Linked DNA regions of Tamandua tetradactyla. The protein of the gene in region 1 binds, or shares a complex with, the protein of each later gene. Links are inferred from orthologs where the notes say so. Each region holds a gene or a part of one and is shown in the gene's direction. Other genes may lie near its edges. The genes, in order: MED1, RARB, MED24 and RXRA.

Region 1 (7,021 bases):
TTTCACAAACCCAATCTATTAGTTTAGATTTTAGATTTAAAGAGTCCTCTGGAGCCTTCCCCAAAGCTTAGTAATTTGAGTGAAATTTGCCCATAGCCATATTTATGAAGATTGCTCCCATGTGTACCTCCAATGCTCTTCTTGTTTATTGTCATGTCTCTCTGATCTTTCTAGGGTACAATTTTTTCAATTGTGTCCTTTTATCTGCACTTACATATGAGAAGGTATAACATACTCTGTTCTATGACCAAAATTAATAAGCTTTATAAGGCTTAAAATGTCCTAGCTACATTTAGGACAGACATTATACCTTACTTGCATAGATTTTACAGAAGAAAATGCAGCCGTGTACCTAACATTGATAGTTTGAGTATAATAATTAACAAAGATTTTTTGAGCATCCATGATTACAGTGGCCAACCATATAATCAAAACCTAAATCGAGGAGTCTATCAAGAGTTGAGGCTGGGTTTTCATCTTTATATTACCAGCTCCTAAAACACACATATTAGAACTCTGTAGATACTTGTTAAATGAAGAGCATTTTTTTGACAACAGGAAAGATTACAACATTCTAAATATGAACCATCTTCAAAATTCTCATTTGGACAGAAGCTCTTTGTCCTTCATCAATTTTAGGGTTGCCAGATTTACATAACATTTCTCTTATGTTATATTTGGGAAATACTTTTATGTTAAAACGTACTCATTACTTATTGAATTTAAAATTTAATTTAGCATCCTGCATTTTATTGGGGAACCCTATTAATTTGTTCCAGAAACATGCATTGAGTCCTTGACACGTGCAGGAGTAGTGCTAAGCCCCGGGGAGACAGCAGTGAATGAAACAGACCCAGTGTAGCTCCCTGGCGCTCACTTGTCTAGAGAAGGCAGCATGTAACCAGTCATTATACAGTCAATTAATTATTATTATTATTTTTTACTGCACAAAAATCCAACTTTATTGAACACAGTAATAGATGAATTTTCAAATCATTTTTGCTTTATGAATATTGCTTTTTGTAAACTAGTTGATCCATGAAAATACTAATTGGTACTATGCAAAGAGGCTTGTCTATTCTGGTCAAGTTAAGATTTAGCTTCAAGTCTATATTCAGAAATATATTTAAATCTAGAGAGATGCATTTATGACTGGATTATAAGTGCGAGCTGATGCGTGATATATGCACTGCTTAATCTGCTAAGAGATAAAGGCCAAGCTCTTTACTGCAATCTTCAAGCACAGGTACAAATTTACATTTTATATAGAAGCTCAGGTTATACTCTTATTCTTACATTGATGGGAGTTGATGTCAGTAACTTAAAGGTAAGTAAATACTTTTGCTTTCTACCATTTACCTAAACAAAAACACATGTGGTATTTTTATTAGACAAGACTTGCTTTTTAATAATTCAAGCAATAACGCAACATAATCCTTTGTTGAACAAAATGACCAGGTGTACTAAGGAAACCATTTTTGGATGAAGTGTATAATAAGCACATTTTATTTAAATAAATCCTCCAGTAGGAGATGATTCATTGCTTTACTTGCAGGATGGCTATATAAGTAATTAGCTCTCAAATTGTATCTGTGCAGCTCCCCAACATTCTCTTATTGGAACTATCCTATTTCCACATCGCAGTTCCCAAAAGAACCTTGAAGTCTCAAAATTCTGCGTCTCCTTTGGCTTGCTTCTCTCTTGATTCTACCCATGCTTTATTAATTGTTCACATCATATCATCATCTCCATCTTCATAAATTTTCTTTAGAACATTCATCAATCCCTCACCAGGACCTGTTTCAATGTCATAGGTGGGCTTTTCTTTATCTTTGCATTCTTCTTCAACCTGAGTCAGGTAGTCCCACCGTGTGTTTCCTGCTTTCTTTCTACATAAGATAAGAACTGTATCAGTCTTGACTTTTTTTTTGAACTGCCTTCCATAGAGATGGGTTTCAAGAGGTCGTTCACAATCATGGAATAATTCTTCCCATTTAGATTCTTCACCAGAAGATCAAAAGACCTCTCTGTGAAATGCATCTGCACATTATCAGTGGGGACCTGATGAACTCCACTTAAGGTAATGTGGATTTTCACAAACTTATCTGACTGATCCAATCCATAATTACTTATTTTCACTGTGTATCCTGTTGTAACCGGACCAACCACAGCCGCCGGCTTTTCATTTTCAAGAGGTACTGCTTTCCCCTGTGATTTCTGCTGCATCTTGTTCTTGATTTTCATCTAAATCTTGGATTTTTCAGCTGTAAGTGCATCACGTATTCTTTTTCTAGTGGCCTCTTCCAGCAATACCTTCACCTCTTCCAGGTCTTTTTGTAGCTCTTCTAAAGCTGGGTCAGGCCAAAGGCCCGAGTTGCAGTCGCGCAGGAAACGCTGTACCGAGTACACTCACCCGGAAAGCAGTCCGCGCAGGACCCGGAGCAATGCCCACAGCCAGTGCGCACACCGACCAAATCGCCGATCGCCTCCACCACACGGCGCCTCTCGCACCTTCGTGACTCAGCCATCGCCTACCCTGAGCCCAATTAATTAATTTTGATGGTGAAAGTACTATTAAAGAAAAGTTTGAATTAGAATACCTGATGGAAGTCAGGGGTCGGAGAAGATTTGTTTCTTCTGTCTAGAGGAAGAGACATTCAAATTAAGATCTGAATGAGGCCTGAATGAGGTGAAATGTTTGGGGTGGAGAGGGACTCTCAGAAGTTAGAACGGACTTGTTAGAGGAGGGCCTTGGGGGAAGGAGAGCAGGAATTTTCCTTCTGGAAGTAAAAGGCCAGTGTGATCTGGCGTTGGCAAGGGGAGAAGAGCTGAGTCTAGCACGGCTTTGTAGGCATAGTGAAAGGTCCAAGTACAGTCTACTAGGTCCAAGTACAGTGCTTGCAGTGGGGGTTCAGAAATGGGGCAATTCCTGCCCTAAGAAACTCACTCTGTGATGACTCAAAGGCATGAAGATAAAAGGAATAGACAAGAAAGAAAATTTGAACTCTACTTTCACGGAGCATAGTTAGACATATACATGTGACGATACACATGTTCTAAGACAGTTCCAAAGACTTGTTTTTACTGCTAATCTGAACTGCAGTACTAGCTGGGATGGTTTTGGAAGATGTGTGAATAGCACTTTTGAAATATGAGAAAAGCCTGAGACTACTGAGCCAGTAGAGATCCATTGCTTAATATTCTGTAGCAAACTAGGTAAAATCCAACTTTTCAGCGGTAATTTTATTTCCAATGACCAGTATATGGAAAAAAAACCATTAAAAAATAGCTTTAACTGTATTAAGAACTTTCCCCCAATGCTAGCTTAGCTTGGGTTTTCAGTTCTAGTGGTCATGAATGCAGCATTATTCCGAACTTCTCTTTGTAAGGATTTAATAATATACAGTATATTAATAAATATACAGATATTTAATAATATCTACAGTGTTAAGTGCTTATGTCTTCACGATGACCACAAGAGGACAACATCAACCGTGAACACTTTAGATCTCTACATACAAATAACAACATAAGATACTTTGATTCCTGCAAATAAATTTACCTTAACCTGAAATCTCCTAGATCTTCAAATATATTCTAATTGCTCAAGAAACATTTCTGAAATTTAAAAAAATTGGTAAATGGTTATTTAGTTGGGCTAGTTTCGAACTTTGTGCTACAAAGCACAAGCATATTTTTTGACATAATTTTCCATTTAGAATATTGGGGAAAACGTTATCATCTTTAATAGTAATCTTTCCTTTCTTTCAGTAAAGAAAGCCGGAATTTTAAATTTGCGAACTGCTTAAGAGCCAAAATAGAAAAAGCCAGTTTTCTCAAAGCAGTTTAAGATTGCCCGCTCTCAAACTCAACACCGAGCCACGTGAGGTCTGACACTCTAGAGCAAAGGGAAGGCTGGATTGGAAGAAATCTCGCGAGAAATGAGCATAAAACAAGTTCGCGAGATTTTTTATGCCCCGCCCCCTCTCTTTCTCTGTCTCTCTGTCTCGCTCTCTCTCAGGATCCCGGTTAGTCTCGCGATCTTTGGGAAGTTCCGTTGGGGAAGATGGCGGCGGCCGCGAGCACCCTTCTCTTCTTGCCGCCGGGGACTTCGGATTGAGCTTTCCCGGGAGGAGTGGGGTCTGCTGGTGCCCTACGTCCCGGAAGCCCGAGCCAACTCGGTTTCCCTCTTAGTAGTGGGGAAGAGCGTATTTGCTCGTGCGGCGGACTCAGGCCCTCTCCGCCGCCAGGATGAAGGCTCAGGGGGAAACCGAGGGTGAGTGACTGAGGGTGAGAAAAGGAAGGGATGGGACACAACAGGAAGGACTTGCCTGTGTGAGGGGCTAGGGGCCGATGTTTTGCGGGGGTCACTCCTCAGAGTCCCGGAGGCGGGATGTGTGTGAGTTTTAGACTCTCCTTTTGCAGATAATGGTGGAGATCTGACTTTGGGTAATGGGGCTCCCAACTTCTGTTGAGTTTCCGTGCTCAGCTGGGGCAATCAGCTGGGCCTCAAGGGCAGTTTTTAGCCTAAATTGGCATTTCCCTAGAATGTCAGATCCTATGCTAGTATATGTTTTTTTAAGTGCTTTGAATTTCATCCTTTCATTGGCCAGACTAACACAGAAATGTTGAGGAACAACTTTTCTGTGCTACTTTACTCAGACCTTCTAAATATCTGCACTCCAGTTCAAATGCTGTCTTTGCAGTTCGGCCAGCTCACAGTATTTGCTTATGTTCTCTACTTTATTTTGAACTTTGTAGATCAGAGGCCCTGCCTTACTCATCTTTGTGTAGTCCCTGGCACATAACAGTTGCTCAAAAATTTTTTGTTGATTTATGCATTCAATAAAGTTAATTATTAGGCTTTTCAAAGCAAAAGAGGGGTGTGTTTTTGAAGAAAGAAAAGTATTGCTCCTTGGGTGCAGAGGAATGACAGGTGTGAAATGGAAACTGTGAGGCAGGAGTTTTGCCTAGTTTGCACCTAAAATAGTGATTGAAAGAAAGAAGCTTGAAAGTAGGCTTTGACAAAAATGTGTTCAGAATTATAAATTGACTGAAACAGCCCAAGAGCCAGTTTTCCAGAAGATGAGAGGGCATTGGAAGGAGTGTGAGTCTTGATTTAGAAGATCTTTTCCCATTGCCTTAACTCTAATTGAGAACATTCTACTCATCATTTAATACCAACATCAGCTGCCACCTTTTCTGTAACATCCCCTCAACCAATGGTGAACTTTTCTTCCTTTGTATTCAATAGTAATGTGTCCTGTTTTTAAGAGCATATCTCACTTTGCTTTATGTGATGGTCACTTCCACGTTAATTTATCCACACCGCCTCATATATTTTTATCTTGGGGATTTTGTGTGTTTTTTACAACTGCAGGGGTCTCTGGCACAGCTCCTTGCTCAGAAGAGGCAGCTCAAGAACTAGAGAATGGTTGAAGGGCAGAGGAACACGCACTTATTCCAGGAGACACTCCTGTTTACTTTCTCTTGTGCTGGAAACTCATCCTCTGATCATTGATCTCTTCCCTATTGATGTAATTTTAGTTGAAATTAAAAAGAAATAAGAAATATCTGAATGGCTAATAAAGCCTGTTTTCTTGATTACACCTACAAACTGATGTCTCAAAATTATGCAGAAAATTAAGGAAGTTAGTATTTTCACATTGAATAGCAACTAGCCATAGCAAAAGCCGTGTTCAAATGTATGCTCTACATTTATCATTCCAGGGATTTCATGCATACCATGAAATGAGCCTGTTGCTAAATTGTAGGATAGATCCTGAAACATGATTAGAGATGACTCTTCTTTTGGTTCCCATGTAAAGTTTGAATAGAAAGCAATCCTGTTCTATGGTGTTCCTTAGGTTAGATCCATAATATGTGTGTTTTCCTGTTATTAAAAATATTTTCTCTCTGTTTTGAAGTAAATGATGAAAAATATTTAAAATGTGTTCTTACCAGGATGAAGTATGGAGTTTTCTTGCAAGAAAAGCTGCAAAGTCTTGATAAAAGAGTGTCTAATGATGTTTTCTGATTTATATTGTAGAGTCGGAAAAGCTGAGTAAGATGAGTTCTCTTTTGGAACGCCTCCATGCAAAATTTAACCAAAATAGACCTTGGAGTGAAACCATTAAACTTGTGCGTCAAGTCATGGTGAGGATTGTGGTAAAATTGGTTAAGTGTTGCATTTCGAGAATTATTTAATAAGATTGGCTCCCCATGTGGACTTGTTCAAATTAGTTATTATAGTGTGTCTTCAATTTTATTTAACATAAAACACCTGAGTACATTGGTGGCTCTCAATTTTAGACTCTACCTGGGAAGCAGGTTTTTTTTTAAAATACTCTTCATGGTGAGTTATAGTACTGGGATACTTTAGGCAGAGGTGCTAAGAAATGTACCCATGAGGGTCATGTTTCATACACTGGTTTAAAAAGATAACTTATTCTTCAATTCCTCTCAAGCTCCTTGATTCTAATGTAACATTACTTTCACAGTGTCTATGTTGTTAGTAGAGGTTGTGGTTCATTCTTTTGTGTGTGTGTGTGTGTGTGTGTGTGGTTCATTCTTAATAAAGGTGAACTCTGGGTTTACACCTGTCCAGTCTGTCAAATTCTTTCTCAACAGTACTGCATTTCATTCCCCTGAATCAACCACCAGTACAGGAAGCCCTTAACCAGTAATGTGGAAGACAGGGTCAGTCTCAGAGCTGGATGTTAAAGGCCATGCATTTGATTCCAGTAGTAGTCAAAATATGCAGTGATGTAGGAAAACTTGTTTTTTGACTTGGGCTGTGGTTGTATGGGTGTGTTCACTTTGTGATAATTTATGGAGATGGTTCATGTGATTCATGTACTTTTCTATCCATGTTATATTTCAATGAAATTGCCCCGTCACCTCACCATTTCTTATGTTGTTCAGTTTGATAGATATATTAACATTTAAAATGAGCATGTTAGTGGCATAGCATTAGCAGAAGTAATGAATTTGCTGTCAGAAGACCTGTATTTGATGTCTA
Region 2 (7,037 bases), on another chromosome or scaffold:
GACCTACAGAAACTGTTGGGCTTGAAGGGGTGTCTTAGTGAATCCTGTACAGCAAAACGCATAGATGTGCTAAAGAGAACAAATATGGAAAGGAAGAGAAGCTTGCATCTTGTCCTAGAGGAACAATGTTTGTAAGTAATCAAGTGGGAGGACTTCAGAGAGGAAATTCTGAAGAAGCAGAGATCAGGAGAGAAAGCAAATGAAGGACATAGTCGCCAAGATTTAAGGAGGAGAGAGATGTTAGAAGAAGAACAAATGTTTCTTGGGGTCTGGAGGATACCCAGCCTCTACAATGATGCCTGGAGCCACCTTTCCAGTTCAAGTTTGGAAAGTGTTTTCTCTCTTCTGGTGTGAGATCCATGAACATCAACAGCCTGTTACATTGGCAGGTGTTCAGTTCAAAGCGCCAGAAGCAAAGTTTCCATGCCTTGAAGAGTGTTAGAACTTCTCACAGCTACTGACAAAAACATCTCTGCCTGGCATCAGCACACTTGCCTTGAGCTGGGCAAAACATTCTTCCTGTCTTCACTTTTCTTCTGAAATACAAACATCACTCAGAACTAGCCATTTATTCTTTTGTCAGAACTGCGCTAAGAAGGGTTTATAGGGGAATTAACTGTAAACAAAGCAAAGCAAAACAGAAACATGAAAGAGGTAGGTGCGCCTTATAAAAATGATTAGCGCTCACCTCTCCCCACCCCTCCTCTGTGTGTGTCTACTTTGTATGCCATGTGCCTGGGTCAGGTATGTCTGTGCCAGCGAGAACCTTATTATTTAAACATCACAAGGCATTTGACCAATTTTGAACACAGCCGGCTACAATGCTGTTGTACACTGAAGCCTGCTCTTTCTTCACAAAACTCTCTAGTTCAAACGTGTTTGCAGAGCATGATTCATGGTGTTTCTTTCTGGATTGTCCAGTGCGTAATTGCTGTACGAAAACCAGAGAAACAGATGTAGACCCTGAACCCTGGCTATAAATTTTTGTTTTATGATTATGGGTTTCAAATGTGCTGTGTCACCCTGACAAATATACAGTTACTACGAAACAAAATGGATTTCACTCTCAAACTTTTGCTTTTTTGTTTGTTTATGGTTAGAAATACTTTCAGTAGAGTTTCTATTATCATTGATCAAACACAATGACACATATCAGAATGTTGTTTTATGAGGAACCAAACAAAAAAAGAATATTTCTTTCAACTTTTTGTCTAATATTTAAAATGGATGTCAATAACTTCATTGTCAACAAATTAACTGGGCCACTTTCCACCTTTTAATACTCATTAAACTTTCTAGTACATGGATACATATTTAAACAATTGTGGCTTATTCTTGGGACTTTCCTTAATTCCGCTTAAGATGAAGAATTCGGAGAAAATCAAGTTTTTAAGGATTGTAAGAATTAGATTTACTGCTTGAGGTAATGATAGATAACAGGTGGCTCAAATGTGGGGTTGCTTTACTAAATTAATACTTGGATTAAGTAATAGCTGTAACAATTGCTATCAGTTTAATTAATTCATGGTGAGAAATGATGAATTGATTGGTGAACATCATTGCATTAAAAGAAACCCATAACATTCTATTCACAAGGATTTAAATGCAGACCGTTCATTTCAAGGCCCCAGTGTTTCTCACACATTCAGAGAACTCTAAGGTGATTATAAATTTTAAACTCTCTTGTGCAGAAAAAGAAAAAACCTAGTCTCCCATCCCCTGCTTCAGACACATTGTGTATTACACAATGACACAGTATTGGGAGAAGAAATATGGGTGTAGGCAGTCTCCCTTCCTAGATGAGGCTGATTCTCTAGCCTAAAACATTGAGAGTGGAACAGAACTTGGGGGACACTCATTGCCATCTTTACTTCCCTGAGGAAAGACGAATGCCCCCCTCTTTTTCGGAAAGACGCTCAGCAAGGAAGTTCCGTGGCTCCCCTGTCTAACAGACACTTGTACCACACACCTTTCAGTGGTGTCTTGTTTCTCATCTCCAACTCAAGTTCTTACTGCTGCATTTTAACTGTAGCTGCGTACTCTCTTCTAACGACATTTCACCCACCTCCATTACTGAACCCAGTTTCCAAGGAACTCTAAGGACCTTCAATAAGCATTTGGAGCTGTTAGCCTCTTGGACCAAATAGAAAGCGGCACATAATGTGGTGCTTTGTGTATCTTTACAACTATCTTAATGACAGTGTGTTAAATGTTTTGTAAATACCTCTGGGCTCCCTTGCTTAAAATGTATGTTTTCTTTGTAGTTAAAGGGTATCTCATAATAAGCTCTGTTACAAAATGATGGCCGTATTAAAAAAAGAAAAGAGAGAAAGAGAAACACATAGTTTCAGCAAAATTTCACCCTTTTATTGCCTGGACTTTTCAATAGCAAGAACTGAGCTTGCTGGGCTGAAAATTGTTTCAATGTACCTTCATAAAAGGATCTCTGACTTAGTAAATGCGCGATGCATACTTTTCATATTACACCACTAGTGCCACTTAGCAACTCTGCTAGACAGCAGAGTTTCAGCATGGGGCGGGGTGCCCCCTGACAGTCTTTTAAAAGGCCTAGATGCCAGTGCACATTCCAGCATGATCCACAAAAAGGAGACAGGAGCAGCATGCTTCCCTGCAAGGGACAAGGAGGCTCTCCCTACCTGCCCACCCTGTTTTGTGGGTGAATTATAAGAAATTCTGGAAAGGAAGGAGAGGTAGCAGGTTGTTTTAATTCCTCTCTCGAGTTTCCTTTCTTTGGTGTGCGTTGCATCCTTTCAGCAAGTTGTGCAAAATAGCTGCAGGTTGGATTAGCTCTCCCTTTTAAAGCTCTCTGTTTGCCTGTTTATTTGTAAATAGTGCATCTGTCCTTCTAGGTGTTTTTAGGCTAAGAAGTGTCTCTTCTCTGTAGGTTGGGCTAGTAGGAAAGGGATTTTTTTTTAGGTTATTCTCTCCTAAAACTACTGTATTTTAGTAAATAGCCAGGATTGTGTTAGGGACTGGTATTTAACAGTCATTTGGTGAAAACTGTCCCTTGGAAACATTAAGCCCTCACACTTAACCAGTTTTCAAAATAGGTGTGTATGTGGTATGTGTGATGATGAGAAGGAGCAATCCAATGGCTATTCATCATGCAAGGATGTGGCAACTGCAAAGTAATTTCAGTACTGGTGAGTTGGGTTCTAGTGGTGGGGGTTTGAGCTGTGTGACCTCAGGCAGGTCTCAGCCTGGCTGAGCTTCTGTTTTCCCAGTTGCAAAATAAGAGGCTAGGTCATAGCTAAGATTTCTTCCAGGAAGCGTACTGAGCACCACACAGGCATTATTTCTTTTTATCCTCCCAGCAACTCACTGGATGAATAGTAGTTTATCCTCATTTTACAGTTGAAAAAACAGACCAAGAGAGGTTAAATAGTTGTCCCTAATCACACAGCTGATAACCAGTAGAGCTGGAATTACAATCCTATTCGGTGCGACTCCCAAGCCCACGCTCTGGACCAGTCCGTTTTCCCGGATCAGGATCTAAAATCCTACATATCTAAGTGGGTGTGTTTTGTGTGTCTAGGCAGGGGTAAACTAATTCTTGACGACTCCATATGCCGTATCATAGACTTGACAGGTTTTGAAGAGTCAATGAATCCAGAAGGCTGGCTAACTCCAGCGCAAGTGCGATCCCTTCGGCCAGGGCTTTTGCAAGGGGGATAAAGAGCAAAAGACTATCGAATGGAAAGTTTCTCAACCCGAGGTTTCCCCGGGGGTAGCTGTTCTCTGCTCTACAATTTAGGGCTTGCATCTGCTTTTTCGGGAGTGGAAAAACATAAGTTACAAGGAATCTAACAGACCGAGAGGCGCTTACAGGAATGTAAAGGGTGGGCTGGCGGCGAGGGGGTGGGCGGGAGGCATGCGGGCAAGGGAGGGGTGGGGACACTCGCTTCCAAGCTAAGCCGCTGTCCTTAATAAAAAAAAAGGCGTAAAGGGAGAGAAGTTGGCGCTCGACGTGAGTCCCGAGCCGCGTCCTGGCTCCTCCCCTGGCTCGTTTTAAAAAACACTTCTTGCATTGTTTTTAAGGTGAGAAATGGGAGCGAGCGAGCCGACGTGTGCGCCCGCCGCCTGCGTCTCGGGCTGTCTGCTTTGCAGGGCTGCTGGGAGTTTTTAAGCTCTGTGAGAATCCTGGGAGTTGGTGATGTCAGACTAGTTGGGTCATTTGAAGGTTAGCAGCCCGGGAAGGGTTCACTGAAAGTTCACTCGCATATATTAGGCAATTCAATCTTTCATTCTGTGTGACAGAAGTAGTAGGAAGTGAGCTGTTCAGAGGCAGGAGGGTCTATTCTTTGCCAAAGGGGGGATCAGAATTCCCCCAGCCGAGCTGTTTGAGGACCGGGATGCCGAGGACGCGAGCGATCCGGCCGGGGTTTGTCTGGGCACGGTCGGGGTAGGATCCGGAACGCATTCGGAAGGCTTTTTGCAGGCATTTGCTTGGAAGGAGAACTTGGGATCTTTCTGGGAACCCCCCGCCCCGGCTGGATTGGCCGACCAAGCCTGGAAAATGGTAAATGATCATTTGGATCAATTACAGGCTTTTAGCTGGCTTGTCTGTCATAATTCATGATTCGGGGCTGGGAAAAAGACCAACAGCCTACGTGCCAAAAAAGGGGCAGAGTTTGATGGAGTTGGGTGGACTTTTCTATGCCATTTGCCTCCGCACCTAGAGGATAAGCACTTTTGCAGACATTCGGTGCAGGGGAGATCATGTTTGACTGTATGGATGTTCTGTCAGTGAGTCCTGGGCAAATCCTGGATTTCTACACTGCGAGTCCGTCTTCCTGCATGCTCCAGGAGAAAGCTCTCAAAGCATGCTTCAGTGGATTGACCCAAACCGAGTGGCAGCATCGGCACACTGCTCAATGTAGGTTTATTTTTTTCCCTTCTTATACCAAGAAAAAAAAATTAATTGTCTCTCTTGCATGCAATAAAGACATTGGAAATAAACTGCATCGGTCGCAAGACAAAGGGTTTAATGATTTAATGCTGCAGGGGTGTGATATGCTGGTGTGCATATTGATTCCCTCTGCTGAAAATTTCCTGTTACATGTTTTCTGCCCAAACAACCCCTCACCCGCCCTTGTTCTTCTCCTTACCAGCCTTACATTTTTGTTTTTGTTTTGTTTTGTTACAGTTTTAAAAATAGGCAGGGGTGGGGCGCAAGTAGAGGGTGACCACAGGACTTTGAAACATTCTTCAAGTAGGGCAGTTGGACACAGTGTGCAGTTTTTACTGCACAGTGTGCAGAGGGGAATTTAACTTTGCTGTTCTTTGGCTTCGCTATTAGTTGTATATTTTTACCCCCCGTGTGGATTTCAACAGTCCAAAGTAATTAAAATATGACATCTTCTCTGCAAGAAATTTAGCCTAATTAAGGTGGCTGCTGCTCCTGAAGTTCATAAACCACCAGTTAAAGCAGCTACCTTCAGTGTTTTCCTTACTAAGGAAAGGCAATATTTCTTACCATTGACCCCGCTGCCACCTTTCCAAGTCACTTTGTTGCTCTAAGAAGTTGCTGTTTTGCTAGAAAACTACTGGCAATGAACACCCCTTGGGCTGAGCCATCCATTATTTCCATATCTTGCGATTCAGCCGGGGACCTAGACTTCGGTTGCAGGAAAGGACATCTAAGTGTGGTAGCCCGGTTTTTAAAAAAAATATTGACTGTTTGGTTATCTGATGCTGACAGGGTGCCGAAGCATGCATCTGGTCAACAGTAGTCTGGCCGCAGGCTTGAGAAATGACCAGAAGTCCCAGAAAATCCCACCTTCGAGTGGCTGGAGTTGGAGCCTGCAGGATGCTTCGCTGCCCTGACAGTGATTTAGATAAATGGCTCGGCTATCTATCAAAATGTTTTTAGTACTTTATTTGACAATTCATTGGAGCATTAGCCTGAAAATGACATTTTAAATCTTTGTTTTCAAAGAGGTCAAAGTTTAACTGGAAAAAATTGAGTTTTCCTAATAACTTAGGTGGCTTATCTAAAGAGAAAGAAGAAAAAAAGGAGAGTGGGAACAATGATAAGATTTAAATTGCCCTCTCTGAAACTTTTTCTTTTAAGAATAAAGCCTTGCTTCTTGGGCCAGGAAATCAACAGGTTTGTAGCTGAAAAATCAATAATCTTTTGATGTCAACAGTTAGGCTGTCTGATTTAACATTTCAGAGAGCCAAAAGTAGGGCAAAAAGATTATTGTTTCAGTAGGCATCTTAATCTTTCGCTGCTCCCCAAATGTCTTTTTTTCCTGCTGCCTATTTTCTTTCTGGAGAACTCAAACTGAGTGTTACAAAATAATTTCCCATCCCACTAGCAGATCTTTTAGACTTGTAGCAATTAAAACAGCACGAAGGAGGTCATCTGGAATCCTAGTGAACTGGGTCTCTCTGAAACTTTTTCTTGTGAGAGAAAGTTCTAGTGGAGCATAATTTTTAGCAGAAAGGAAAAAAAATTGCTCAGGATCCTGGCGGAAAGTTAATAAACCTAATAGAACTTTTTTTCCCTAACATGTAGACATTCCCTCTTTTGTAATTAACCCTCCAAACATGCCTATTAAGTCGTAGGAGCTGGGGAAAAAAGCTTTGTTTATTCTTGAACAAGTTAAACAAGGGATTTGCCTTATCTGGGGAGAAAGAGTGGTGAATGTGTCATTTGCCTAGGGCTAGCCGATAAGCAAGAAGTGTTGATAACAGCAAAGTTGAGCTAATCAAAGAACTTGCTTTAGAAAAAGTAAATATAGGCATTTGACAAAGGGATTTCAGAAATTCCAGTGTCTTATTTTTGTAAGCAGGGCAATTAGTGCTTATTGTGGTCAGTTTCAGAAGGGTTTGAATCCCACGTCCAAACTTGAGGTAAAATGAATAAAATGTAAATATTGCTTGTGCTCCTGCAGAGTTGCTTTATCCTCCATAAACCGCGTTATAACTGGCCACTTTAGTTGTTCAAGCGATTAAATTTGTGAACATAATTGAAAGCTTAAAAAAAAAATGCTAACAAATATCTGCCACGC
Region 3 (6,999 bases), about 560 kb from region 1:
GAGAATCCCAGCACATGAGATACACTTATACTCTGCAGTGAACCAGGCAGACCAGGAGGCAGTGAAGCGGCCCCAGCAGTAATCGGGCTTAGGGGTGGAATAAAGGGGTCTAGAGGGAGAAGAAGAAGGGCTGTGGCTTTGTCTTTATTCCATCCTGGCTTGCTTACCACATCTCTCTTTGAGCCAGTTCCTAAAGATGTTGGGTAAAGGAGACATTTTTAAATCCTAGAGCCAGAGCTGTAGAAAGGAAGCAATTCCTGAGTTACCTTTCCCCCTTGCCCCCCCCCCCCCATCTCAGGGGCAATGTAGGGCATCTTGAACTCAAACACAAAGAACTCACCATTCCCATCTTTTCTTCTTACTTCTCTCTCTCTCCTTGGCTCCCAATATGGGCTGGTGGCAGACTTAGGCAAAGGCAAGGTGAAGGACACACTGCCTCCAAAGCAGGCATCTTGCCAGGTGCCAGGAGCCAGCCCAGGTTGGGTTTACAGCCCCTGCCCCTGGTTGCACTATCCCCCTTCCCAACCCCACTCTCTTACCCACTCCCAGTTTCTTGAAGCTTCCAGCTCTTCTCAGATTCTGTTCAGTCCCAGCTCCTGTTCTCTACTGGCCATGAACCTCACACCAGGTCTCCATTGGCACCATCCCCTCCCATCCCCCTACTTCGCTTCACAGCAAGCCCTGGGTCTGTGGGGAGAGAGGGAGGGTGGAAAATGAGTGAGAATAGATAGGGACCCTCAAAGGGGATTTGTCTGACAGCCCCCTCCCTCTTAGATTTTGGTTGCCAAGGAGGCAGCAGGAACAGCCTGTTCTCTGGGCTCCCACTGAAACAGCATGCCCAGACTCCTCCCTCTCTTCCTCCCTTCTTTCCTCCCTCCCTTCCTTTCAGCTGTTGCTAGGAAGCACCCCAAGATTTCTTGAGGGTCCCACCCCTAGGAACCAGGGGGTCCAGATATCCTTCTCAAAGCTTCTCCCCAAAACTGGCATCCAAGCCCGCACACAGTGTCCTCATCCCTGCCAAGAAGCCTTGCACATCCCAAGCAGTTTAGGGGAGCAGGGACAGGCCCTCTGCCAGTCAGCCCTGGAACGAGCTCTGTGGCCCTGGCCTTGGCGATTTCCCTCCTCCACCCCTTCCCATCTCGCTTGAACCTCTTAGGCTCTGGGTGATGTCAACATGTGGTAAGGAGGTGTACAGCAGATACCCTTTGGCTCCACAGACACAGCCCCACTCATTGGGGTGCTCTGGAAATGAGACACCATCAGCTAAGAGAACCCCAAACCCAGATGTCTCTCTCCATTAGTGTTCTCCAAATCAAGAAGAGATGATGGAAATGGAGAGGAGAGGGAGAGGGAAAGGTCGAAACAGTTATGTGGAGTTGAGAATCAAAGGTCCAACAAAGATGAAGGACTGGGAAATTAGCAAGCAATCACGCAGACAAGAGGAAAGTCACAACTTTACACTTAATTCCCCCCTTTCAATCACCTTTGTCCCATCAGGCACCCTGGTCCTGGCTCATGAAGAGGTGCCCAGGGAAGGGATTTGGGTCTTGCTGAGCCTTGTTTTTTCCCTAGCTGAGGTGAGAAGTGGAAAAAGAAGATAATTTCTCAAGGCTGCCTTTCAGATTTATCCCCCTGTATTCATTCACTGAACATATTTTTTGAGTGTTTAATATGTTCCAGATATTGGATCCCCCAAACTTTCCCAACTTCTGTTTTTGCTTTCCCAGAGAGCTCCCTTATCCTTCCCTTTGCCAGCAGAAGAAAGAAGTGGCGGGGAGGTCTCTATTTCCATCAGGGTCTGCATCCCTGCTACAAGAGTTGAAGGTGAAGATGAATCACTTTGGTGTTGAGGCAGAGTTTAAGAAGAAGAGTTACAAGGGCCTGGAGGGAGGGGTGGTGCAAAGAAAGTAGCAGACTGGCCCCCCTTCCCTATCACTCTCCCCCTGTGTGCTGGGGGCGTGGAGGGAGAAGGTGTCCTCCAGGGTGTTAGAGAGGAAACAATTCATGATTAGTTCAAATTCTGCCTTTCACTGTCCTGGCCAGTCTCTTTCTGGACTTCTTGTGGGAAGTCAGGGACAGGGAATTGTGGGGAATTCAGGGGCTGTCCTTGAGATGGAGCCACCTTTTAGGCCCCTCCACCCTCATCTTTTCTCCCAGATAGCTGGAAAGCTGTGATTTGGATTTGGGAACTGATGGGGGAAGGAAAATGGTTTGGAGCCAGCTGTGTATATAAGTGTGTGGGATGGACTCGTTTTCTCTTCCCTCCACCTGCTGCCAATTAACTTCCTATAGTGGTGAGACCCAGGCAAGCTTCTAAAGAAAGATGTTCCTGTTAGGGGAGGGTAATGGCAGTTTTCCGATGGAATGAAAGTAAATGAAACCCTCTGTGCCTTGTATGCTTGCCAAGTATTTCAATCTTTCTTGGGCTTTTGGGGCTAGACACTTGGTTCTTTTCTCTACTAGCCTAAAGTGTTTCCTTTCCCTTGGATATCCCAAATCCCTGGGCCTCACAGCCTTTTCCCCCATCCCACCCCCACTTTGATCAAGCTCCTTTTCTGCCATTGCTCCAGATGTTGCCATGTTATTCTGCCTTGCTGTCCCCTCTTCTCCAGCCAGATCCATTCCCCCGCCAGTCAAGCCAACAAGATGAGGAAGTTGGGGCTCAGGGCTAGGGAAGCAGAGGTGAGAACACAGCCACTATCAGAGCTGAGAAGGAATGGACAGCCAAAGAAAGAGCTCCCCCAGATTCATCCTCCAGGGAAGTGATTTTTGCCTAAGGGGAGCTAAAGGATGGCTGTTGGGAAGTTTGGATAGAGCTTGGATGATTGCCTCCTCAAGGTATGGGATAGTGGGCAGGAAAGAGGGGTGACAGACCACTGACTGGGGGTCTACATGTTTACTCTAGTTCCTAGTTGGAGATGTTAGGGACAGTCTTGTCCATAGGATAAGGCAAGGCTGAAGGCTGTTTACAGGGTGCGTGGCATTTGCTTTTGGCCTTCCCACTGCTGGGAAAGAAGGGCTGGACATAATTATCTACAATAGTACTCCTTAAGATAAGTGAGATATCAAAATTAAAAAAAATAATAATTAACTTTTAATTTTAGAATAGTTTTAGATTTATATAGAGATTGCAAAAATAGTACAGCAGGTTCCCACATAACCTACACCCATATCCCCTTTTATTGAGTCTTACATTAATATAGTACATTTGTTACAATTAATGAACAAATATGGATCCATTATTTGTAACTAAAATCCATGATTTATTCAGATTTTCTCAGTTTTTACTTACTGCCCTTTTTCTCTTCCGGAATCACAACCAAGATGCCACATTGCATTTAGTAGTCATATCAACTTAGGCCCTCTTGGCTGTGACAATTCCTCAAAATTCTAGTTTTTGATAACCTTAATCTCCGTTTCCATCTTCCTTTCCTCTTTACCCCCTATATTTAAGGGGTATAGATAGAGGGTTAGGAGATTCTGAAGACTCTCAGATTTGGGGGGTGAAATGGGTATGTTAGTGCAACTAGCAGAACTTCAGTGTCGCTTCTGGGATACAGGCGTGAAAACGAGAAAACTTTGGTAACCCAGGAGCTTAGAGGGAAAAAAAAAGATAAGGAAAGCGTTGGAACCTATTGCTGAACACTAACACCTCCACTATGCCTATGAACCAGTGGGGGATGAAAAGGTGGCGGAATCTGATTTAAATACCCTGTCGACAGTGACGTCGTTGGGCGACGCCTGACTGCTGGCAAGTTTTCGAGAGCCTCCCACCCTCCACGTTTCTGTGATGCCCAGCTTAGAAGTTCTCCTTCAAAGGCGAGAAACAAAGCAGGCCTTTTAGATTAGTCCTCAGCTTCATCTCTAGCCCGGACAAAGAATTTCCCAGTCCCGGGAACTACAATTCCCAGCAGACGTCGCGGCGGGCCTTTCGCTTGCTGCATTCCTGTTGGCTCATACTTGTTATTCCCAGCAAATGAGAAACGAGCTCTTTGACATGTGCCAAAATGGCGCGATGTGGGCTCTGAACTGGCTTGTCCGGTAGGTTTAAATTGGGGGAGTTAATGGATGAAAAGGAAACAGTGAATTACAGTTTCGGGGCTGGGGAAGATGGGGCATATGAAGTGTCTCTTTTGGGTGTACTAGTGAGTGACGGTCGCAGTCGGAGCTAAGGGTATAATTAAAACAACCGGAACTGGCCGAACCCCTTACTGCTCTGGCTTTACTTCTTGTATTGACTCCTAGTGCCTCAGTCCAAGAAAGGTTAGGTTGGGAGGGAAGAGCCTAACAGGATCCCTACTTTGTCTCCTTCGCTTTTATCCTTCTAGTCCTGCTGTCCCTTCTATCTTCCTGGTCTTGTCTATTTCGTTTAACTCTGCCCTCCCCTTCATTTTCCTCAAGAACTTCGTCTCTTGTTCTGTAGCTCGGTTTATCCTACTTCGGAGGGGGCCGCTAGCGGCCGCGCCTCTTCAGAGTGAAGTTATGAAGGTGGTGAATCTGAAGCAAGCCATTTTACAAGCCTGGAAAGAGCGATGGAGTGACTACCAATGGGCAATCAACATGAAGAAATTCTTCCCCAAAGGAGCCACCTGGGATATTCTCAACCTGGCAGGTCTGAAGTGAAATATGAAGGAAGGAAGGGTGGGATGAACCCAGAAAAATTGTAACCACTCAGTCTTTGTTTTTCCCCTTGCAGAAGCACTGCTGGAGCAGGCTATGATTGGACCTTCCCCCAACCCTCTCATCCTGTCCTACCTGAAGTACGCCATCAGTTCCCAGGTAAACTGCCTTACCTACTTCAAGGAGTGGGAGATTGGAGGTAAAAAACTTGCAATACCATGGTCAGCTCACATTTCTAGGTGAATTTGTCTGAACAGATCACTTTTCTGAGTCTCAGTTTTCTCGTGAAAATAGTAATACTTCACTAGTTGTTATGAATATTGCATTCACTATTCTGTCAATAAATAATGTGCTGGACAATGGATAGGCCTTGGGGATTTAGTTGTGACAAGACCTGATAAAGGATCTCAACCCACAGCACACGTTTAGTGGGTTATATAGACCAGTAAATACTGTCAGTCACAGGATGAGTTTATTAAAGAAGTGCTGCGGGAGTATGTGGGAAGGCACCTAATCCAATCTCAGCAATCAGGGAAGGCTTTCTGAAGGAGGGGGTATTTAAACCAAGACCTGAATATTGAATAGGAGTTAAGCATACTGAGGAGGCTATGCAAAGGGGAGAGAAAAGCATATGCAAAGACTGAGAGGCAAAAATCATATGATGTTGTTTAAGAACAGAAAATAGTTTGGTATGGTTTGGCTAGAGCCCTGGTTCTCAAACTTTTTAGTTTTGGGGCTGCTTTACGTTCTTAAAAATTATTGAAACCCACCACAGAATTTTTGTTTATGTTTATTGTATCTATCCATATTTACCATTTTTGAAATTAAAATTGAGAAACTTAAAAAAATGAATTCATTTAAAAGTAACAAAATAAATTAATTACAGGTCAATATAAATATAACAATATAAATAACATCTTTTTAAAAAATAACCATATTTTCCAAAACAAAAAATGTTAGTGAGGTGAGTGGTATTGTTTTACGTTTTTGCATTTTTGCAAGTCTCTTCAATGTCTGGCTTAACAGAAAACAGTTGGATTCTCACATCTGCCTCAGTTGTCATGATATGCTGCTTAGTTAATGTATAGAAGAAAATATGGCCTCACACTTATAGGTATTTAGTTAGAAAAGGGAGTATTTTAACAAGCTTTTTGGACAACTTGTATATTCTTTGAAGCTACACTAAGATTTAGTAGGTGATGTGAAACCATACCAATGAACTTTATACTGTTACATTAAAATACATTGGGCTCTTCCCTCCCTTCACCTCACTTTGAATTATCCTCTGCTCATGTGTGATTTTGTAATATCATGAATTGGTCATTTAGAAAGTACAGGTTACTGAGTTGTAGAGGTATTCCAATTGTTGACACATTTTGTTATATAATATATGTTATGGAGTCTCTGGTAAACTCCACCGTACAGTTGTGAGGGAATGCGAGTTAAAAGGGCAAATAACATCTTAGTAGTATTTTAAAAAAGGGTTTTGACCTTTAGGACCCCCTGAAAGGGTCTGGGAAACCCCTGGGGGTCCCTGGACCATACCTTCAGAACTTCTAGGCCAGAATATCAAGTTCAAGAAGGAGACTGGTTTGGAGAGAAAGATAGCAGTTAGGTCAAAAAGGACTTGGTGAATGATACTAAGGAGTTTGTACTTTATCCTAGGATAATGGGTAATCACGTAAAGGGTTTTAAGTGGAATTGTGGTAAGATTTGCATTTTTAAATTAACATACAATAAAATACACAGATCTTATGTTCAATTTGATGAGTTTTTTTATGTTATTGTGGTAAAATCAATTGGATGAGTTTTAAAAATTGTATATACCCATGTTACCAACATCTAAAAATAAGACCTAGGATATTTCCATTCTCCTAAAAAGTTTTCTTGTGTCCCTTTCAGTCCATTACTTTCTCCCACAACCACTAAATGATTTCTGTTACCATAGATTATTGTTGGCCTATATTTGTATTTCATAGAAATGTGAATACTCTGTCTTCTTTCACTTAATGTGTTGGGAGATTCACTTAATGTGTTGGGAGATTCATCTATATTGTTGCGTATGTCAGTAGTTTAGTTTTTTCTTTATGCTGAATACAAAGTTCTTGCATATCCTTTTCCCGCTTGGCATTATGTCTACTTGTTAGTGCATTTCCATGTTAGTGCACATCCAACTACCTTATTCTTCTTAAAATGCTGCATGATGTTCCATCTGTACTGTGATTTAGCAAGTTCCCCAATGATGGGCATTTAGATTGTTTTTAATTTTCTATTGTTATAAATAGCACTATACTGAACATCTTTATATTCACCTTTCTGCCTGTCTTGGAATATTTTTTTATTATAGAAATAGAATTGCTGGTTTTAAGAGTACACACG
Region 4 (7,185 bases), on another chromosome or scaffold:
TTTGGAGTAGAATTCAAAAGCCACTCATCTCACAGTACAGCTGGGGAAACTGAGGCCCAGAGCAGCACCTGCATTTGAGCAGGGGCTCCTTCTCCTGACTGTCTGTCTGATGGACCCACTATGGGAGGCCTGGCCAAGACGGCTGGGTGTCTCGGAGGGGGCTGCCCTGGGCTCCCAGGTGCCGGAGCTCAGTGCTGTTCCCTGGCAATCTTGAGCTAATTAATTACTGCATGAGCAGGCACTGTGTGTCAGGGGTTGAGGGGGCTAGGAGCAGGGGTGGGCAGCCCTGCATCCCAGGGAGGTGGCTGACCCCAAGTGGGAGGGCTGGATTGCATTCTCTGGAACTTGTCTGAGAAAGAGCCCCTCTCCCAGGTTCTACTCTAAATCCCCAAAGCCCAGGAATCATCTGGGGCTGGGAGCCAGGAGAGCAAGGGGTCTGGAGCCAGGCATGGGTGAGGTGGCAGCAGGTATCCCTTCCCCAATGCCAGGCTACCTGCCCCCTGAACCCCGCCCAGCGTGGTCTGACCCTACCTGTCCTGAAGTCTCCAGGAGCACACTGCCTGGCCCCTGGGCCCTCCTGCTGGGTTCCCCCTGGGGCCTGTTGGAAAAGAAGGCTTGGCTCTGGAAGGGGGTTTGGGATGTGATCTGGGTGGGCTGGGGAGGGACTCCCTCAACTGGGGAGGGGGTTCAGATCCAGGCAAGCACGGTGTACAGGATAATTAGCAAGTGCTCATGCTGGCTGCGGGCTGGGGTTTTCTGTGTATTGGATGGTCTCTGCTTGCCGAGAGGTGCCCGTTTTACCGTAGAGGAGGCCAACTGAGCCCCAGCGATAACTCTGCCCTGTGCCGGGCCGGGGTCTCAGAGCTGGGCCCATGTGCGTCACTTTGGAGGGCCGGCCGCCTGAGCCCCTGTGGGCTGCAGATGTTGCTTGTGGTTGGAGAGGGAGCAGCTGTCCCTTCCCTGCAGCCACCCCCATGTGTCACGGGCCTGGCTTTCCCCGTGGCCAGAGCCTTGCGGGCTCCTCCGCCCAGTGGTGTTGGCAGATGTCCTGCAGTTGGACCCCAGCTTATCGTGCCCAGCTCTGAGGTCCTGGGTGAGCCCTGTTTGCACCCAGGGCCTCAGTTTACCTTTCTGAAGGTGTGGCATCATGGGTCGGGGTGGGTCCACGCTGGTGGCACTGGCTCTATGTCCAGTGCCCTAGAGGTGAGTGCCAGCACTGCAGTGATTCGCCTCCTCCCTGGGTGGGATTGAGTGGGCCATGGGCCCTTCCCTAGGTGGAGGATAAATCGGGGATAGGGACTGCTAAGAGAGGACTGTTGGCCGGAATGTCCATGTCTTGGGGTCCCTGGGCATGTGGGCTGCCCCGGGCAGGGCTGAGTCCTTGGGAGCCTCCACCTGGGCTGGGAGGGGGTGGTCCTGGGCCCAATGCTGTGCCTGTGGCTGGAGGGAGGGCACCCAAGCCTGAGGGTGGCAGGGCCATGGGGGAGGGGGGCTGATGTAGAGTGGGGATCCCCGTCTGGTCCCAGACCCATCCAGTGGCTGTCAGCACCCTGGGGTGAGCCCCATTTCCCCCCCCCGCAACCCAGGGTCTGGGAGCCCTTCTCTGTGGTCAGGGACTCAGGGGGTTTCCTGAGCCACCTGCGTCCAGGGGTGCCCTCATGCCACAGGCAGCAGGGTAGCACTTGCAGCCCACCGCAGGGGTGCTAGGCAGGCTTTTCTGTGAGCGCTGAGGACGTTGGGTTGGCACCTGTGTGCTGTCTGAGGGCAGGGGCGCCCGACGTTTTGTGTCTCTCGCCGTTTTAGCCATTTGGAAAACATAAGAGGCTTCTCTGAGCACTTTACAGCTAGAAAAAGAAAAACAACCCTCGAGGAGAATGGCTCCTACCTCAAGGGAGCAGGGGGTTTTGTTGGAGCCACAGATCACCAACACTCAGTTTCTTTCTGTTCCCTAAATCTGAAGGTGAATTAAGGCATCTCACTTGAACTGTTGAGGTCAAAATTGCTCTGACTGTGAAGTTCAGGCGTTAAAGGAGATGGTCCAGAAGCGATGGGAAGGCAAGGTGTGTGTTCACAGTTGGGGCTTTTGGGTGGTGGTCAGGTGGACGCAGGGCTGCTGCCACTTCAGGGAGCACTGCCTCTTCAGGGAGCACTGCCTCTTCAGGGAGCACTACCTCTGTGCCCACATGCTGGGATGGACCAGCCGACAGGCCTGAGGAGGGGTATAGGGTCAGCACCTCAAAAGGTGGTAACGGAAATAGCCCTTTCCTGGGCACCCAGCTGTGCAGGTGGCCTGGCAACCATTCCTGGGCATGGCTCGGACAGGTCAGGTCAGGGTTTTGGTGGGACCCCCTCCCCCAATGCCTGGAGCCCCTCTGGACTCTCAGGTCTGCTGCCTGGTCCTGGCACCTGAAGTGGAAAGTGCTGTAGCTGTGGACAGAGGTAGGTCAGCTCAGGCTGGGTTGTGCCAGGCAGAGGGTGGCAGCCATGGCACAGTGGGAGTTTAGGGAAGACAATTTGAGGGGCTAGCTTTGTCCAACCCTGCCCCATGCTGGCATGCAGCTGCCAGGGAACACCTGGGCCTCAACGTTGGGTTGTGGGAGGAAGGAGTGTGGGGTGAGATGTCCAAGGCTGGGTGGGCCTCCCCGGCCCTGGCTTGGGGTCCCAGCCTTTGAGCATCCTCCATCAGGACCCTGAATCTCTGCCTCTTCTTCCACCCACCTTCCCTGATACATTTGAGGACACTGCCCCAGCCAGGAAGGGGCAGGCCTCCCGCGTCTGGGGGCATCTCCCAAGGTAGAGAATGGAATCTTCGGTGGCGAACGTGGGCAGCGCTGGGGACTGAGAAGGTGGACTGACCAGGGGCCTCCAGAGAGCACCTGATGCGGTCCCACCCCCATAGTCTGCTGCGCCTGGGCCGAATGCTCTCCAGGTCCCCTCTGTACCCTCTGTCGGAGCCCAGGCCAGGGAGACATTTGGGGTCTGGGTGTGGGGTGTAGGGACAGAGCAGACCCCTGCCTTGGCTGGTGGAGTTGGCAGACCCACCTGCTTGCAGGACACATCCTGGGGGAAGGCCGAGTGTTCTTGCGGCCTTGGCTGGCCCATGGGCCGTGGCTGGGCCGGCCGAGACCCCCTTCCCCTCGGTGGCCCCCCAGTGCACTGTGCATGGGAGCCAGTGATCAGGTCGGGTGTGTGGACTGGGGCCACCGGGCCACCCTCAGCCATCATGAGAAGGGCCCATTTGAGACCAATTTGCTGTCCCTTGCAGGCCGTAGAGCCCTCACCAGGGGACGCTGTGAGGGGCTGGGCTGGGCCAGGCAGGTCAAGGGGTGTCATTAGACACTCCCTGCAGGGGCGAGGAGACGTATCAGCTGGAAGAAATACCCGACATCCCCCTCTCCACTCTCATGCCCCTTCCCCCCTCTATCCTGGGTTGAACCTGACCTAGGGCGTCCTGGCTGGAGAGGGCTGCCTGGGGAAGTGAGCTCTAGGAGATTCTGCTTTGCCAGAACCTTCGTGGACCATGGGGGTGTCCATGGCCCATCTGCACCCCACCCCTTTTGGGGGATACTGTTGACATTGTTAGGCATGGCTCATGCCAGGCCCAGCTGTGGGAGATGCTCCCAGGACCCCCTTGGGAGCCCCCTGGGTGGCAGGGCCTTGGGGTGGTGTGCTTGCAGCTGTGCTGGCGCCATGGAGGAGAGGCTGGGCCTGGGAGGCGTCTCTGCACAGCCACTGGCTGGGTGGGTGGCCTCCCCGGGGGGTGTGCTCATGGCCTCCAGGGGGAAGGGCTCATTTTCCTCTCTGCCGTGGCCCCCCCTCTTGGGTCCAGGTCCACTGGGCCTTGGCATGGGCTCAGGAATTCCAGGCTATCTCAGCCCCTTCCAGCTTCCTCAGCAGGGCGCAGAGCTGCTTCTGTCCTCGCGGCCCCATCTGGAAAGCGTTAACACCGTGTCAGCGGCAGAGGGCCGGCAGTGGCGGGCTCCTGGGGGAGCGGAAGCCGCCTCCTCCCCAGCACACCCCCCGCAGCCACTCCTGCCCTCGGCTCCATCCCCAGTGAGTTTGTGGAGGCCAGGCCTGTGGCCAGCAGGGTGGGGCTTGAGGCTGGGGAGGGGCGGGTAGGCTGGGGGGAGCTGGTAGGGTTGAACGTGCTGGGGGAAGGGTGAGAGGTCTGGGGAAGGGGCAGACCCTGGTGGCGGAGGGGGAGGGGCACACCCCTCCCCCATGGGGCTTCTAGGGGCTTGTCCTTGAGGGGCCTTTGAAGCCTGCCACCTTCTAGCTACAGCCGGCCCACGCATATTCCTGGTGCCCACATGTCCCTCCAGTGGGAGACACGAATGGGGGACCCACATCCACTCTCTGGCTCCCCTCCCTTACCTGCCTCAGCTCCTGGCCCCATCCAGCCCATTCTGGGCAGCCAGAGCTGGTTCCCAGGCCTTTGTGCTGACCCTGCAGGAACGGCCTCATTCGGCTGATGACACTTGTTAGTGTGGCCTTCTGGACATTCCAGCCCTGGGACGTCCCTGCCTACCCCACGTGACCGGCCATCAGACAAACACTGCTGGGCTCATGGTGAAGCTGTGCCTTCCTCTCTGGTGCCACCTGCTCGGCCGGGACACCAGGCTGCAGATAGGCCTTGGGCTCCTGTGGCCGCTGGGAACCTGGCTGCAGTAGGCGCGGGAGCAGGGGACAGGCGTCCCCAACTGAAGCCTAGCGGTCCTGGGGCTGCAGCACGTACCTTTAGGCTGTTTTTCCCTCCATCTCCCCCAAGCTGGTGAGGGACCTGCAGCCCCATCATCACTTCATTGTCACTCTAAAGGGCCCGTGGTGCTCATTCCCACGAAAGGGCACTCGGTAAACAGCTTGGGGGTCTCTGAGCCCCATCCCCTTGGAGTAGCTTTCCCTGCTGGCAGAGTCCACCCTGTGCCATCAGGGCTCTGCTGGTGCCTGGCTGAGCTGTGGGAGAACTTAGCCAGGTGCCCAGGGAAAGGTACTGGTCTAATGGAAGAAGGGCAGCCAGGCTGCAGTGAGAATATCCTTCTTGCTGTCCCCACTTTGGGGACCTGTGGGGCTCAGGTGGCAGAGGGCTCCGAGGAGCTGGCTGTCCTGCTTTCACTAAGAAGCCGGTGGTGTCGTCCTGCATTCGACAGGTACACATGGGTGTGTGAACATTTTCATGCCTGCACACATGTGTGTGAGACAGTCAGGCAGAAGTAAAGACAGACAGACAAATGGAGACAGAGTTCCAGAGCCCTGGAGCAGCCCCTGGGCCTGCTGGCTGCCTCTGTGCTGTGGTCAAGACTGCGCCTTCCTGCCTGACCAGGTGGCTGGGGACAGCGAGGTGACCCAGGCCTTGCCGCCTCGTTCCTGTCCCACGTGCTGACATGGAGGCGTGGGCTCCTTGCAGAACTTCCCATGCAGGACTCTCACGCCTGGTTCATGGCTGCTGCTCACCCTGGCTCCCAGGCTCCCTTGGCTGGTAGGCCCAGCCCTGGTATTGCAGATGGACTCTGGGTGCTGCCTTTGTACCTGTGAGGAACCTGCCCTCGCCTGTGCCCATCCTCAAGGACGGGGGTCCATCCCCGAGCCGTGGGCAGCAGGGAGCTGGGAGGTGCCATACCAGGGCCAGCCTCACCCTTCCCATGGCAGCTGGCAGGGGAGGTGGCAGTGGCCCTTTCCCAGGAGCTGCTGCATGTCAAAACCGGTCCCTGACGCAGCCCATGGTGTTGAAATAAGAGCTCGCAGGTTTCCCAACATCCTGTCTTCCGGTCACAGGACCGGGTGTCAGGCGGCCCTCGTGGGGTCCAGGCACCCACTTCCCTCCCTGGGACTCCGTTTCCTCATCGGGTGAGTGAGAGGAGGTCACCCCTCCCTCACGGCTGCTGAGCACACAGGCGGAGGGCATGACGTTTGGCAAGGTGACATCACTCCGGGTCCATGTCATCTTATAACGTCCCCATTTGACAGTGGGGGAGACTGAGGCTCAGTTGCTTGCCTTGGAGTGGAGGGGCGGGATTTGAACGCAGGTGTTTCTGTCCTCTTTTTCTCCTCCCACGAGGAAGAGAAGAGGGGAAGAGGTGGGTGGGGTGTCTGGCTGACATGGGAAGGGCAGTGGCCCTGTGCCCAGCACCCTGCCCTGTCTGAGGGCCAGCCTGGGGTCTGACCTTGGCTGCCCTGAACTGGACCTATAGGCCCTTTGCTGGGCTGGCCACCCTTCTTGAGGTGGGACCTGGGGAGCCTCGGGCAGCCCCAGTGAGCATCTCTGTCCCTTTGGCTGCAGTGGGCCTGGCCTGTGAGTGGGCAGGGAGAGTGGCTGCTGTGGGGGTGAAGTACAGTTGTGGTCCCTTGTTCCAGATAGTGGCTCTAGGGGATACACTGGGGCCCTCCCCTAACCTGGGTGGGTGTTCTTGGGTCTGCTGTTCAGGGGAGGAGATGGAGGTGCAGAGAGACTGAGTGACCAGCCTGGGGACACACGGCTGACAGGCAGGGTCTACTGCTGGACAGTGCAGTCCTACTCTCTGAATTCTGTCTCGGACATGGGAAGAGAGGACACAGTGGAGCGTTATGCACTCAGGGTGGATTCTGTCTGCTGTTCTGTGCTCTGTGACCTAAGCCTGTCTCCCAGCCTCTCTGATCCCTTAGGGGCCTTTGTGGGCTGGGCATGGAGATGGTTGACAGTTCTGAAATCCTGCTCTGTCGGCAAAGGGGCAGTGCGGGAGGCTGGGGAGGGGCGCAGGAGCCGACCCGACCCCAGCCCGATGCCCTGCCAGGCGGGGCCTGGGATTCTACGAACCCTTGTGGTCAGACCTCACCCAGCTGTGGCGTCTGCCTGTCGCCTGTCAGCAGGGGAGGGGCCCCGGGCCGTCTCTTATGGAGGAGGAAGTAGGTGCCCAGAGAGGGCAAGGGGCTTGGCCTGGGCCGCACAGCAAGGCGCCGCAGAGCTGGGGGCAGCACAGAGAGGTGGTCGCCGGGAGACCTGGCCTGGGGAGGTGGATGTGGCGCTCTGGTAAGGTACAGACTGCCGGGGGCAGGGTGGGAGGAGACGTGGGTTCTAGCCTGTGGTCTGTGGCAAGTTTAGCCTGGGCTAGGATGGCAGTCGTGGTAAGGATGGTGCTGACCAGGGTAGCTCTACTTGATTGAGCATGTGCTGTGCCAAGAACCGTGGCCTGTGCCGCCTGCACAGGGGCA

The links.
Region 2: the proteins of MED1 (region 1) and RARB are in contact, whole or in part, in a crystal structure (PDB 1XDK), measured with the Mus musculus proteins. The link is inferred for Tamandua tetradactyla from reciprocal best matches to the Homo sapiens genes MED1 and RARB. Residues at the interface, in NP_001073587.1 of Mus musculus: His642, Pro643, Met644, Leu645, Met646, Leu648, Leu649, Lys650, Asp651; in NP_001276689.1 of Mus musculus: Ile264, Val267, Lys271, Phe276, Ile281, Gln284, Ile285, Leu288, Lys289, Pro435, Leu436, Glu439, Met440.
Region 3: the proteins of MED1 (region 1) and MED24 are in contact, whole or in part, in a cryo-EM structure (PDB 8T9D), measured with the Homo sapiens proteins. The link is inferred for Tamandua tetradactyla from reciprocal best matches to the Homo sapiens genes MED1 and MED24. Residues at the interface, in NP_004765.2 of Homo sapiens: Phe375, Asn377, Gly436, Leu437, Gln439, Glu441, Ser453, Asn459, Asp460, Ser461, Leu462, Val463, Cys464, Tyr480, Lys481, Gly482, Asp485; in NP_055630.2 of Homo sapiens: Lys7, Ile10, Trp14, Lys15, Arg17, Leu47, Ala50, Met51, Ile52, Gly53, Pro54.
Region 4: the proteins of MED1 (region 1) and RXRA are in contact, whole or in part, in a crystal structure (PDB 1XDK), measured with the Mus musculus proteins. The link is inferred for Tamandua tetradactyla from reciprocal best matches to the Homo sapiens genes MED1 and RXRA. Residues at the interface, in NP_001073587.1 of Mus musculus: Asn641, His642, Pro643, Met644, Leu645, Met646, Leu648, Leu649, Lys650, Asp651; in NP_035435.1 of Mus musculus: Phe282, Val285, Lys289, Phe294, Leu299, Gln302, Val303, Leu306, Arg307, Thr454, Phe455, Glu458, Met459, Glu461, Ala462, Pro463.

Annotation. Positions count from the first base shown.
Region 1 is NC_135332.1:27,776,007-27,783,027, forward strand, and holds the start of MED1 (mediator of RNA polymerase II transcription subunit 1), read left to right. Parts: upstream 1-4,020; 5' UTR 4,021-4,251; coding exon 4,252-4,276; intron 4,277-6,049; coding exon 6,050-6,156; intron 6,157-6,554; exon of another isoform or gene 6,555-7,021. UniProt on the Homo sapiens protein: Component of the Mediator complex, a coactivator involved in the regulated transcription of nearly all RNA polymerase II-dependent genes.
Region 2 is NC_135341.1:62,707,071-62,714,107, reverse strand, and holds the start of RARB (retinoic acid receptor beta), read left to right. Parts: upstream 1-4,032; 5' UTR 4,033-4,740; coding exon 4,741-4,897; intron 4,898-7,037. UniProt on the Homo sapiens protein: Receptor for retinoic acid. Retinoic acid receptors bind as heterodimers to their target response elements in response to their ligands, all-trans or 9-cis retinoic acid, and regulate gene expression in various biological processes.
Region 3 is NC_135332.1:27,219,891-27,226,889, forward strand, and holds the start of MED24 (mediator of RNA polymerase II transcription subunit 24), read left to right. Parts: upstream 1-3,977; 5' UTR 3,978-4,041; intron 4,042-4,054; exon of another isoform or gene 4,055-4,145; intron 4,146-4,401; 5' UTR 4,402-4,482; coding exon 4,483-4,612; intron 4,613-4,696; coding exon 4,697-4,779; intron 4,780-6,999. UniProt on the Homo sapiens protein: Component of the Mediator complex, a coactivator involved in the regulated transcription of nearly all RNA polymerase II-dependent genes.
Region 4 is NC_135328.1:13,494,743-13,501,927, forward strand, and holds the start of RXRA (retinoic acid receptor RXR-alpha), read left to right. Parts: upstream 1-4,175; 5' UTR 4,176-6,867; coding exon 6,868-7,003; exon of another isoform or gene 7,004-7,008; intron 7,009-7,185. UniProt on the Homo sapiens protein: Receptor for retinoic acid that acts as a transcription factor.